4 linked regions of the Saccharomyces cerevisiae S288C genome follow. The main gene of each other region encodes a partner of the protein of the gene in region 2 in a complex. Each region holds a gene or a part of one and is shown on either strand. Other genes may lie near its edges.

The links.
Region 1: RSM25 (region 2) and RSM10 share a complex: the UniProt entries of both Saccharomyces cerevisiae proteins name them as parts of the mitochondrial small ribosomal subunit.
Region 3: RSM25 (region 2) and MRP17 share a complex: the UniProt entries of both Saccharomyces cerevisiae proteins name them as parts of the mitochondrial small ribosomal subunit.
Region 4: RSM25 (region 2) and MRP10 share a complex: the UniProt entries of both Saccharomyces cerevisiae proteins name them as parts of the mitochondrial small ribosomal subunit.

The regions. Positions count from the first base shown.
Region 1 is NC_001136.10:538,069-541,020, reverse strand, and holds RSM10 (mitochondrial 37S ribosomal protein uS10m RSM10), read right to left. Parts: upstream 1,219-2,952; coding exon 607-1,218; downstream 1-606. Other genes in the region: YDR042C (uncharacterized protein), read left to right, coding at 1-420; Na(+)/Li(+)-exporting P-type ATPase ENA1, read left to right, coding at 2,554-2,952. UniProt on the Saccharomyces cerevisiae protein: Component of the mitochondrial ribosome (mitoribosome), a dedicated translation machinery responsible for the synthesis of mitochondrial genome-encoded proteins, including at least some of the essential transmembrane subunits of the mitochondrial respiratory chain.
Region 2 is NC_001141.2:187,476-190,871, forward strand, and holds RSM25 (mitochondrial 37S ribosomal protein mS23 RSM25), read right to left. Parts: upstream 1,310-3,396; coding exon 515-1,309; downstream 1-514. Other genes in the region: LYS12 (homoisocitrate dehydrogenase), read right to left, coding at 1-157; YIL092W (uncharacterized protein), read left to right, coding at 1,591-3,396. UniProt on the Saccharomyces cerevisiae protein: Component of the mitochondrial ribosome (mitoribosome), a dedicated translation machinery responsible for the synthesis of mitochondrial genome-encoded proteins, including at least some of the essential transmembrane subunits of the mitochondrial respiratory chain.
Region 3 is NC_001143.9:436,597-439,036, forward strand, and holds MRP17 (mitochondrial 37S ribosomal protein bS6m MRP17), read right to left. Parts: upstream 897-2,440; coding exon 501-896; downstream 1-500. Other genes in the region: AUR1 (inositol phosphorylceramide synthase), read left to right, coding at 1-189; ESCRT-III subunit protein DID4, read left to right, coding at 1,182-1,241, 1,310-1,948; MET14 (adenylyl-sulfate kinase), read right to left, coding at 2,181-2,440. UniProt on the Saccharomyces cerevisiae protein: Component of the mitochondrial ribosome (mitoribosome), a dedicated translation machinery responsible for the synthesis of mitochondrial genome-encoded proteins, including at least some of the essential transmembrane subunits of the mitochondrial respiratory chain.
Region 4 is NC_001136.10:370,278-373,080, reverse strand, and holds MRP10 (mitochondrial 37S ribosomal protein mS37 MRP10), read right to left. Parts: upstream 834-2,803; coding exon 546-833; downstream 1-545. Other genes in the region: FAD1 (FMN adenylyltransferase), read left to right, coding at 1-393; NPC2 (sterol transporter), read right to left, coding at 1,320-1,841; type 2A-related serine/threonine-protein phosphatase SIT4, read right to left, coding at 2,375-2,803. UniProt on the Saccharomyces cerevisiae protein: Component of the mitochondrial ribosome (mitoribosome), a dedicated translation machinery responsible for the synthesis of mitochondrial genome-encoded proteins, including at least some of the essential transmembrane subunits of the mitochondrial respiratory chain.

The sequences.
Region 1 (2,952 bases), on a different chromosome or scaffold from region 2:
AGTTGGAGTACTGAGCGAAACTTTCTCAATATGAATTCAGATTCCATATCTGCTACCAAGAATGTTTTTATATTATTTTTTACCATTTTCAGATTAGCGGAGTATATTGTATACAAACTCTCTGACCAGAAGTATCGGTTACACACATCCCTGAATGTCCAACATTTCAGGTGGAATTCGAAGAAGAATACAAACAGAAAAAGGACACTTTCCTTTAGCAAAGCTTACTTACCAAGAACAAATATACTACCGATTTTTGTAGCCGATGGACTAAAAAATAGATTCTCAGGCCCGCTACCTGGTAAGTCCTTGGAAAGCTTCCAGAAACTAAATTTATTGAGCGATAACAATATTAAGCGGTATGCAGTACCAGGAAACAAAGCAGTGAACACACTTTTATGGCAAGAGCAATACTCATAACGGGCCGCAATATTAGTACAAAATTGTTCATCATATAGTTAAAAAATATAATTAAACTTACTTATAAATTCAGTATAACCATTTAATCTACTACTTTTTGCCCCTCTTCTTCACCTATTTTATTTACAAGTACGAAATCTTTTCGGTCCCAAGAACCAGCGTAATTATAGGATTGCCATCATCTTTTTACTTCTTTTCCAAATGTTTTTTAAAATCGGGGCTATCCAATAGTTCCAATACTTTTTGTCCGACAGCACTAGTTTGAGCTTTATCATCGTTTCTCAGAGAATACAATTCATCGATATTGCTTAGTGATTTTTCGAGGCCATTGGCGTCCGAACCCAAGTCCAGCGATATTTCGGACCTTTGAAAGAAGTTACATTTCATTCCGACGCCTGCCATAGAGTGCTTCGTAATGTAAGCTATCAACATCTGTAGCACTTCGGGGTTCGTATCCCAGGCCCTAATGAGCCTCTTATGTGTATGTCTTTCAAAATTCTCTTTGGATTTAGCGTGCACGAAAGGTGATTTTATTACAGTCCACCTTTCTCTTCTCGTGGGCAAAGGTTTAGGACCTGTCAATGGGATACCCAAATAGTAACCTGTTCTAAGTATGAAGTCTGAATAAAAATCGAGGTTTTCATTGTCATACGATCTTAACTGAATGTCTGCAACTAAATCACCATATTTGATAGGTAACTTTAAAGGAGCATAGTAGACTGCCTCTACATTTACAGGATATGGGCGCGTCGACTGTGTTCTGATAAATGATCTTAATGCAATGGTATTTCTAAGCATTGGCCAATGTTTTTCCCCCTTTTCTGATTTTGCACGGTTCGCATAATTCTAATTTGTACCAAATAGTTTCATTTCATGCCCTTTCTTGCATTTTTTCCTTTTCAAAAGAAAATAGATGTACAGGTATTACCCGCCTGGTACATAGTTTGCTAACATTCTTGCCCAATCTCTCTGCTGTTAATAAAGGATGTGTGGATACATGACTAATTTCCGGATTAAACAGTGACGATAAGAAACGGTATGGCAAGAGTCAGAATTTGATAAGACTTCAGTAATATTGATTATCGGTCGAACTAAGCTACCCTCTTGGTTAAATTCTAATGACTACCAGTGTGGTCAATATTTTAGGGTTATCGGTGAACGATAACAAAATCCGTAATTGTTTCCTACGCTGGTTATTACTAAGTAGCCACTCGGTGGCTATCTCTAGCCGTTCATCAATCATGTCAAAAGTACAATCACTGAGCTTATTAAGTCATCCGCACGTGGAACTCACACAAGCCCCGAATTTTGTCAGCCATTCCGTGGAAAATCCTTTATCTCGTCACTCTTGTACGGAAGTTGCACCTTTAGCCCCACTCCCAGATCTTCAATCACAGAGGCAATGAGGGTGGCTGTGCAATGTAAACTTTCTTATCGCTTCCTGTTATGATTGATTACCATGCGCGGTAGAAGGATTGAATGAGGGGTGTGGGTGTGATAATTCATGTACGGACCCTTTCCTCCCAGAAGCTTCTGCACGAAGTGGTTACATTGTGAGTACAGGGTCTTAAACATCGCCGTGCGGCGTCATTTTGCGGGGCTCATCATTTATTTCCTACTTCTATGACGTTTGTTAGGGCAGGGATGTAGATTTTGGTCATATACTTTCACCTGACAGAAGAAAAAACAAGGTCTTAGAGCAGTATTCCCGAATTATTGCCTCTTTCCTTGGTGGGTGCGGGTTAATATTAGATGAACGGTGGGTTGTGGTCAAACCCGGGGTAGGTTTTAAAATGTCATGCGTTTTCGTCATTTACATAGATATATACAGGGAAAATATATATATATATATATATATATATATATACCTAAGGGAAACAATTTGAATAGATAAAAGGTCTTTTCCTCTTATTCCGTTCTTTCTTTTTAGAGTACTATTAATTTCTACTATTTCTCCTATCTTTCTTTTCTCATTAGTAATAGTCTAATCATTTATATTCTAATATTAACTTTAATAAAGCAGATATCTTCATCAAGTGAACTGTTCACACTTAATTCACATTTATTTGAGGCAACAATACGTATATTTACTAATTAAAGAAAAAACTTCGTACACAGAATTGAAAATTTTCGATGGGCGAAGGAACTACTAAGGAAAACAATAATGCAGAATTCAATGCTTATCACACGCTGACTGCAGAAGAAGCCGCTGAATTCATAGGCACAAGTCTAACTGAAGGTTTGACCCAAGATGAGTTCGTCCACAGATTGAAAACAGTGGGTGAGAACACATTGGGTGATGACACTAAAATTGATTACAAGGCAATGGTCCTCCATCAGGTATGTAATGCCATGATCATGGTCCTTCTAATATCCATGATAATCTCGTTTGCCATGCATGATTGGATTACTGGTGGCGTTATTTCTTTTGTTATCGCGGTCAATGTGCTCATTGGCCTAGTTCAAGAATATAAGGCTACCAAGACAATGAACTCTTTGAAAAACTTGAGCTCTCCCAATGCTCATGTTATT
Region 2 (3,396 bases):
GCTTGGAGTTAAGGTTTTCCAAAACTTGCTTACCAGCAGGAATGACTTCCTTACCGATACCGTCACCGGGGATAAGACCAATAGTGAGTGATTTGCGAGCAGCGTTAGATGCTAACCCACGGCAGGCAGATAATCTAGTAGCAACAGATCTAAACATCTTTTTGAGTGCGTTACTATCTTAGTTATATAAATATGTCGCACTAATATAATAATCGCATAGATACAGTCTTAGCTAATTCTAAATCAGTTAAGATGTCCTTATATAACTGTAGAACCAGTTTAGTTTCTTGTTGTTCTTTCCTCTAATTAGAGTCATCTTAAGAATATTTTTCCACGGGAAAAAAGTGAAAAAAAAAAAAAAAAAAAAAAAAAAGAGTGGGAATTTTCAGTGCAGTTGAAAAAATCGAGGTGGAATTTGAGAACGACAATTACTTAGCACTACATGTGTTGTTCTCGTTTGTTTTTAATTATATACAGGTTGGTTAGGTGACGTTGGAGAAAAGAGGCAGCCCACCTAGAAGTGGAGGTTCTCGGAAGTGGTGGATTCTTCTTCTTGCGCCGTATTCAATGTAGTGTCGTCCTTCCACGACCCTGCAGGGTTACTTGTCCTTGCTGCCATTAGTTCAGTTTCTTCAACTACCTTCTTTTCCCAGACGTCTAGGACCTCTTGTTCCTTTTGTATACCATGTTCAATGGCAGAAACTCCAAAGAGGGATCCGAACATCTCCGCTTCTTCCAAAGCCACTTGCTGCTCTGTTTCTTCTTGCATTCTCAACGCATAGAATTCATATCTGGCATGGTCATATGCTTCGACCATGTCCCCATACTGCTTCGTTTTGATTAAGTACATAGTTCGCTGGATAACACTTTCACCATCGAGTGGTCTTCCTATCTGAAGCATATGGCTCCAATCGTAGTTTTCATCACCAATTTCGTTTTCCACTAAAATCTTAGGTCTCGACAACTCCCATGGATGTTGTTTGTAAAAGAGCGATCTGAGCCTATCCTCAACGTATGTTAGTTTAGGTGGCCTGTACAGCCTTTTCACGCCCACCCTTTTGTCGCTCGAGTTGGGTCTTGTCTTGTAAAGTCCCTTATTGTTGGCATGCGGTTGTTCTGTTACGTCAACAAGTTTTCCTATGATGTGTCCATTGGAAGGATTCTTAAAACGAGGTTCACGTGTAAACTTGGTTGATGGTGGGATAGACGCTACAACGTTGTACCACGCAGGTGTTTCTTTCAACAATCCTGATTTCAAGTAAGCGGACGTCCGTTGAAGGACGTTTACAGCATTTGTTTGTATCTTCATTTCTCAGAATTCTAAGATCTTCTTCTTGAATGGTGCGCAATGTCCTTCTTCCTTTTCCAAGCTTCTAATGAGGTTATTTTCTTAGACTTTTGTGCAGTATCTAAATATTATTGGTTTTATTGCTTGTAACTTGCACTTTTCTGTAATTGCCGAAGTATCAAAGAAATTTCAACTCTCAAAGAAGATGCGCAAGAATGAAGACCAAATGAAAAATGTCATAAAAAAGCAGTATATTAGCTGTCTTGGGTTAGGGTCCTCGTTCAACAGATTCTTTTTGCTTAATGGTGCAAATGAGATCCAAAAACATGGCATACGAGTCGGGAACTAATAACTATAGTGATACAATAGCTAATGGAAATACCCTGCCGCCGCGAAGCAAGAAGGGACACAGTGGACGTAGAAAGAGGAGCGAAACTTTGCCCATAGCGTGTAATAATTTTTGTGTTACAAGACAGATTGATGACGATGAACAAGCGTTCAAAATGCTAGATAAAGTGAGTCATCTGAAAAAATTCAGTGCTGAAGACGGTGATGATAACAATATATTCGTCCAATGGGCCGATGATATTACAGATATCTTATTTGGACTATGCTGTACAGGAACGTTTTTGAAACTTCTTATAAGCTCTGCATTATCCGGCCGGGCTAAGACATGGTTTGATTCTACAACGGAGGGAATCGATGACCATGTGATAAAGGCTTACAGTTTTGAAAAATTTCTTGCTCTACTATCAGAAGAATTTGATGGAGCAAGATCTTTAAGAAGGGAAATTTTTACGGAACTATTGACGTTGTCCATTGATTCTGAGAAGTCATTAGAAGCATTTGCCCATAAATCGGGACGTCTAACTCCATATTATCTGTCTTCTGGTGCTGCGTTGGATCTATTCCTCACAAAATTGGAGCCACAGTTGCAAAAGCAACTGGAAAATTGTGCATTCCCAATGACTTTGAATTTAGCACTATTGATAACTGCCTGTGAATTTGCGAAGAGAGCATCTAATCATAAAAAATACCGGTATAAAAATACGAGGGATTCCGACATTTGTACTCCAAAGAGTAAGAATACTGCTATCGTTAGCAAATTATCGAATACTAAAACTATAAGTAAGAATAAGGTTATTGAAAAGAGTGATAAGAAAAATTACTTTGATAAGAACAGTCAACACATACCCGATCCTAAACGTCGGAAACAAAATGAACCTGGAATGCGGCTCTTTCTTGTCATGGATGAGGAAAAGAATATTCTTACATCTAGGAATGTTTCTGCCAATGCATACACATCAAAAAATGGACACACCAATTTAAGCGATCTCCATACGAATCTTAAAAACAGTAAATCTCAACAATGTGCAGTGGAGCCAATATCGATTTTGAATAGCGGCAGTTTGGTTACAGGCACAATTAATATTGACCTAATTAATGATGAAGTTTTAGGCACGAAGGAGGAAACTACAACTTATGATGAACGTATGGATGGAAACTCACGTTCTTTGAATGAGAGGTGCTGCGCCGTCAAGAAAAACTCACTACAACCTATAACATCAAATATATTTCAAAAAAACGCTGAAATTCAGGGCACAAAGATCGGGAGCGTTCTAGATAGTGGTATATCGAATAGCTTCTCCTCAACAGAGTATATGTTTCCGCCCACAAGCTCTGCGACAGTTAGTAATCCAGTAAAAAAAAATGAAATCAGCAAGAGTAGCCAGGTTAAAGATATTGCCCAGTTTAATCCGTTCATGACAAACGAAAAGGAGAAAAAGTTAAATCCATCAGAAAGCTTCAAAAGCCCTGGAGTGTCTATGGAAATAAATAGGCTAAGCCGTATCGCGGGCCTCAGAAATATTCCAGGAAACATTTACGAAGACAGCAAAATGCTTAATTTGAAAACTCGAAAGTGCTACCCACTGCATAACTTTGCTGTGCGCACGAGGAGTGCACATTTTAATGACCGTCCTTCTAATTATATATCACCGCATGAAACCATAAATGCGACTCTCCGATCACCTGCAAGCTTTGATAGTATTCAATGTATTACTAGGTCCAAGAGGGTAGACGCAGAGACCAATAAAGCAACTGGTTCA
Region 3 (2,440 bases), on a different chromosome or scaffold from region 2:
TCAAAGAGTGATCCATTGGCTGCAGATTCAAACGATATCGAAAGTGTCCCTTTGTCCAACTTGGAACTTGACTTTGATCTTAATATGACTGATGAACCCAGTGTAAGCCCTTCGTTATTTGATGGATCTACTTCTGTTTCTCGTTCGTCCGCCACGTCTATAACGTCACTAGGTGTAAAGAGGGCTTAATGAGTATTTTATCTGCAATTACGGATACGGTTGGTCTTATGTAGATACATATAAATATATATCTTTTTCTTTCTTTTTCTTAGTCAGGATTGTCGTTTAGCATAATATACATGTAGTTTATTTAATCACATACCACTGATTATCTTTAGAATTTTATAAATTTTTGAAATAAATGGGTGGCTTTTAATGGTGTCTATGTTAAGTGAGGCTTTTAGAATGCTCTTCCTGCTTTGTTTATTATATGTGTATGAAAGATATGTATGTATTTACATGTGTTTGTAGCGTCCCCAGTCAAAACCTGTGCGCTATACCTAAATGGATTGATAATCTTCATTCACTAATTCTAAAATAGACTTCTTCCCCAAAGAACGGTGTAACGATGAGGCTCTATCCAGCTGCTTATCTAAATCAACTTTAACGATGGATGATCTTATGACACGGGGATCTTTCTTTAAAGTTCTTAGAATTTCAGACTGTACCGCAGCTGATGAATCAAACAGCATTAAAAAGTGATATGCTCGAAAATGTTTTTCCTGGTCTTTCTTCATTATTTTAGGAAGATACCTTATGCCCATGGGTACAATGTCCCTCACCACACCTCTGTTTTGAATAATCAGTTTCCCGATTGTGGAAGACAATTCTTTTGCTTCCAACTTTGGCGCATTGGAGTTGGTTATGCGAACAAGTCCGATCAGCTCATAAAGCATCTTAGTGAAAAGGGTGGTTTTGCGTTATTCTTTCCTCTGTTGAAGCTTTTCTATTTTGTTTAAGCTGAACTAGTGGGAGTTTCCATTAAAAGGCTAAAGTCTTGTTGAAACTTTTCCGGGTTAGATGATAACTGCGAAAAGATAGATAAAATCAGCATTAAAGGGACTTCGTCTCCTCCTAATCAGAAATCATCCTTTCGAATTATGCGTATTCAGTTGAAGCGTATTTGTGACCAGTGTACTTCAAGGCTGATTGTTTCACCCTTGGACACAGAACGTTAAACAATGAGTTTGTTTGAGTGGGTATTTGGAAAGAATGTCACTCCGCAAGAGAGGTTAAAAAAAGTATGTTGTTCTGTATTTGGATCAGTTATTTTAGTGAACATACTAACGTTAATTATTTGAGTTTTTAGAATCAAAGGGCTTTAGAAAGGACTCAGAGGGAGCTTGAAAGAGAAAAGAGAAAATTGGAACTACAAGATAAAAAACTTGTATCAGAAATTAAAAAATCGGCAAAGAATGGGCAAGTTGCAGCTGCGAAAGTTCAAGCAAAAGATTTAGTAAGAACCCGGAATTACATCCAAAAATTTGACAACATGAAAGCTCAACTTCAGGCGATATCATTGAGAATACAGGCCGTTCGAAGTAGTGACCAAATGACACGTTCTATGAGCGAGGCCACTGGTCTTTTGGCTGGAATGAACAGAACAATGAATCTACCTCAGTTGCAAAGGATATCGATGGAGTTTGAAAAGCAGAGTGATTTGATGGGTCAACGACAGGAATTCATGGACGAAGCTATTGATAACGTCATGGGTGATGAGGTGGATGAAGACGAAGAAGCTGACGAAATTGTAAATAAAGTTCTTGATGAGATTGGAGTGGATTTGAATTCACAGTTGCAAAGCACGCCTCAAAATCTGGTTTCTAATGCGCCGATCGCAGAAACAGCGATGGGGATTCCTGAACCTATTGGCGCCGGATCAGAATTTCACGGTAATCCTGACGATGACTTGCAAGCTCGGTTGAACACTTTGAAGAAGCAGACTTGAGCGCTCTGAGTATATTTAATGAATAATAGGTCTATACTATAATACATCAACTACTGATATCAAAGTAGGCACTTAGAATCAAAAGGCTTCCGAAAATTTGTTCAGTTTTTCACTTTACTCAATCTCGTCACTAAAGTTTTCTTTTTTTTTCGAATGAATCCTCGAATAAATATGTTCTATATTATATATATACATCTTTTATATATCATTAAATGTACAGTAATCGGTCAAATTACAAATGCTTACGGATGATTTTTTCACTGATTAAGTACTCATAAATAATGGTAGCACATTCTTCAACCGTCTTCTGGTCGGTTCTCAAATGTAGCTCTGGAGCTTTTGGCGCTTCATATGGGGCAGAAATACCTGTAAACTCCTTGATTACACCCTCCCTAGCTTTCTTGTATAAACCCTTAGGGTCCCTTTGCTCAGCGACTTCTAATGGAACATCAACAAATATTTCAATGAACTTCAAACCAGCCTCCTTATGTA
Region 4 (2,803 bases), on a different chromosome or scaffold from region 2:
CCTATTCAAAGAACAGATTCTAACTGGCCTGATTTTATGAGGTTGCAACCTCTCTTACACTGGGACTTAACCAATATATGGAGTTTCTTACTGTATTCTAATGAGCCAATTTGTGGACTATATGGTAAAGGTTTCACATCAATCGGCGGAATTAACAACTCATTGCCTAACCCACACTTGAGAAAGGACTCCAATAATCCAGCCTTGCATTTTGAATGGGAAATCATTCATGCATTTGGCAAGGACGCAGAAGGCGAACGTAGTTCCGCTATAAACACGTCACCTATTTCCGTGGTGGATAAGGAAAGATTCAGCAAATACCATGACAATTACTATCCTGGCTGGTATTTGGTTGATGACACTTTAGAGAGAGCAGGCAGGATCAAGAATTAAGTACGGTTTAACGGAGGAAAGAAAATAAAATGCTGATGTTACTATTAGATTAAAAGTTTATATATTTTCCGTTGAGACTATTTAATTTGTATATACAAGGCCATGACTTTAATATTATCAAGTTTTCATTCTTGCTGCTTTTGGATATAAAATTAATCATGGGGTTTACCGTTGATCCTATCATACAGCCTAGCGGCGTGATAGTTAATATTGCTCTTTTGAACGTTGTTTCTTTTGCCGAGGGCACTTTCACTAGTGCAACTTTTCAATTCCGTTACTAAGCCAGCACATTTAGGGCTCATATGACCATATGAAGACCAGCATTGTAATAAGTTTGACATTAAAACAAGACATTTGTTCGCTTCTTGCCTAATGATAGGTTTCTTCACTTTTAGTCTGGGAAGAGGGGGTAATCTATAAACTGGTGGTTTTCCGGACATTAATGGGCACTCTTTATTTTAGATGGAAGTTTCGGCGAGCCCTCGTGTTGCTATGGTAAGACTTTTGTCTCACTTAAAGCCTCAAAGCTTTTATATTCTGCCTAAAATACTGGGAAAAGAATTAATATGTAAAGTCCGCATTACCCGGAGAACGAACCTGTCATCATATATAATAACCAAAGATGTGCGTAAGGGAGAAATTTTGCAATGAGATATCAATGTAATGACATGTTTTTAATACGTACACACTAAATAGATGATTTTTAATTAGAGGAAAGGAATGGAAAAGAAGTAGGTGTTGACAAAGGCGCTGAAGCATTGGCCGACAAAAAAATATTAAGAGTAACCACATTCGACTAGATGGTGGTTATAACAAAAAGAGGAAAAACCCTGCCTCGAACGGGTGAAGAGAACATGGGGTAAAAGAAAAGAATACATGGAACGAGAAGGGAAATAAACACGGATCAATGAGTTGTATGAATCAGATCACCTTGGTGGGAAGATGACTTCTCCGGTTAAGCAAGTGATCAGATCATCCTTTTCAGTGTAAGCTCTTGCTACAACAACATATTTGCCAGGTGGAACCTCGCCTGGGATCTCAACTATTTTCTTAATGTTGTATTCACCCGGTTCAATTGGACAGGATAAGCCTTCGATATCGTTATCTTCTAATGTTTCACACAAATCAAAAGTCTGGGATAACAGTCTGATGTATCCTAGACGGACTTCAACGTCGATATATGCCCCCTCTTCTATAGTTTCAAAGACCTCACCGTTAGCAGAAATAGTCAAATTTTCGCCACGAACAGGAGGGTTAGGGTCCAAATTGACCTCTTTGATTTCCACAAGTTGCTTGTCTAGAATGTCACATTGGTAAAGTGGAGATTCGCCGTTAATTGGTTTGGTGTTTGGTGGGGGAAGGGCGTTGAATATGCCAATCACACCCGCATTGACAGCAGCTGTGTAAAGAAATAGCAAGGCGAATAGAGCTTTCAAGCTGTGGGTCATTTTGGAAGGCGTGCTAGCTTTGAAGGAGAAGATTTAATATGGTTATGCTTTTCTGCCTTGGCGAATCAGCTCTTTAAGTAGCGCCAGTCTTTTATATTTCCCCTCCCGAGTGTTGATTAAAGTTTTTTTATTATCAGGGATTCCACCCTCTTTCAATAGATCCAAACCGTGGGAGGTGACGTTTCGGCACGATGAACGTAATAATTATTGTGATAATAATATAATGTAATATAACATAGTAGTATTATATATATATATATATATATATATAAATAGGAAAGAAAGGACAAGGACAAAAAGGAAAAGAAAACTGCAATTGTTGAATATGTAGTTACTAGTTCTCATTCCTTCTTTTTTTTTTTAATTTTTTATTTGGTCATTTTGACCATAGTAAATGGAATGCTCTTAGAATGTGCTTGTTGTGTATCGTATCGTAGCAAATGGCGTAATGAAAAAGTTTCTGATTTTTGTAGTCTTTTTTTTATTGTGAAAATTATTTTTATTCGTCGAGTTAGGGAGGGCATGCCGTCGTGTTATAAGAAATAGCCGGCTCTTTGATTATTATGGTTTGCCGTGGATTCTCTTATGTAGTCATCGGGAACAGCCGAGAAAATTTTGAAAGTAGGTTCCAGATCCTCATCGACCTTCATTACACTCGCGACATTACCACATCTATAACAGTAATTTGGCGCGGACCACACGGTTACAACGTCCTTTTCAGGAAAATGGTACTTGAACCCCTCCATAACCAGTTGGTGAGCCCGGGCAATAAGGTTCAGTCCATTAACGTGGTTAAACTCTCTAGCAACTTTACTGCCAAAGAGCCATCCTGCACCACGAGGGGAAACTTGCCAAGCCTCTACATTGTCAGGGTCTGACCAAAGCAGGTCCGAGAACCCACCCTCGTGTGGCACTTCTTGAGCTCTTGACAAGACTCTGATTTGATCGAGCATTCTAATCTC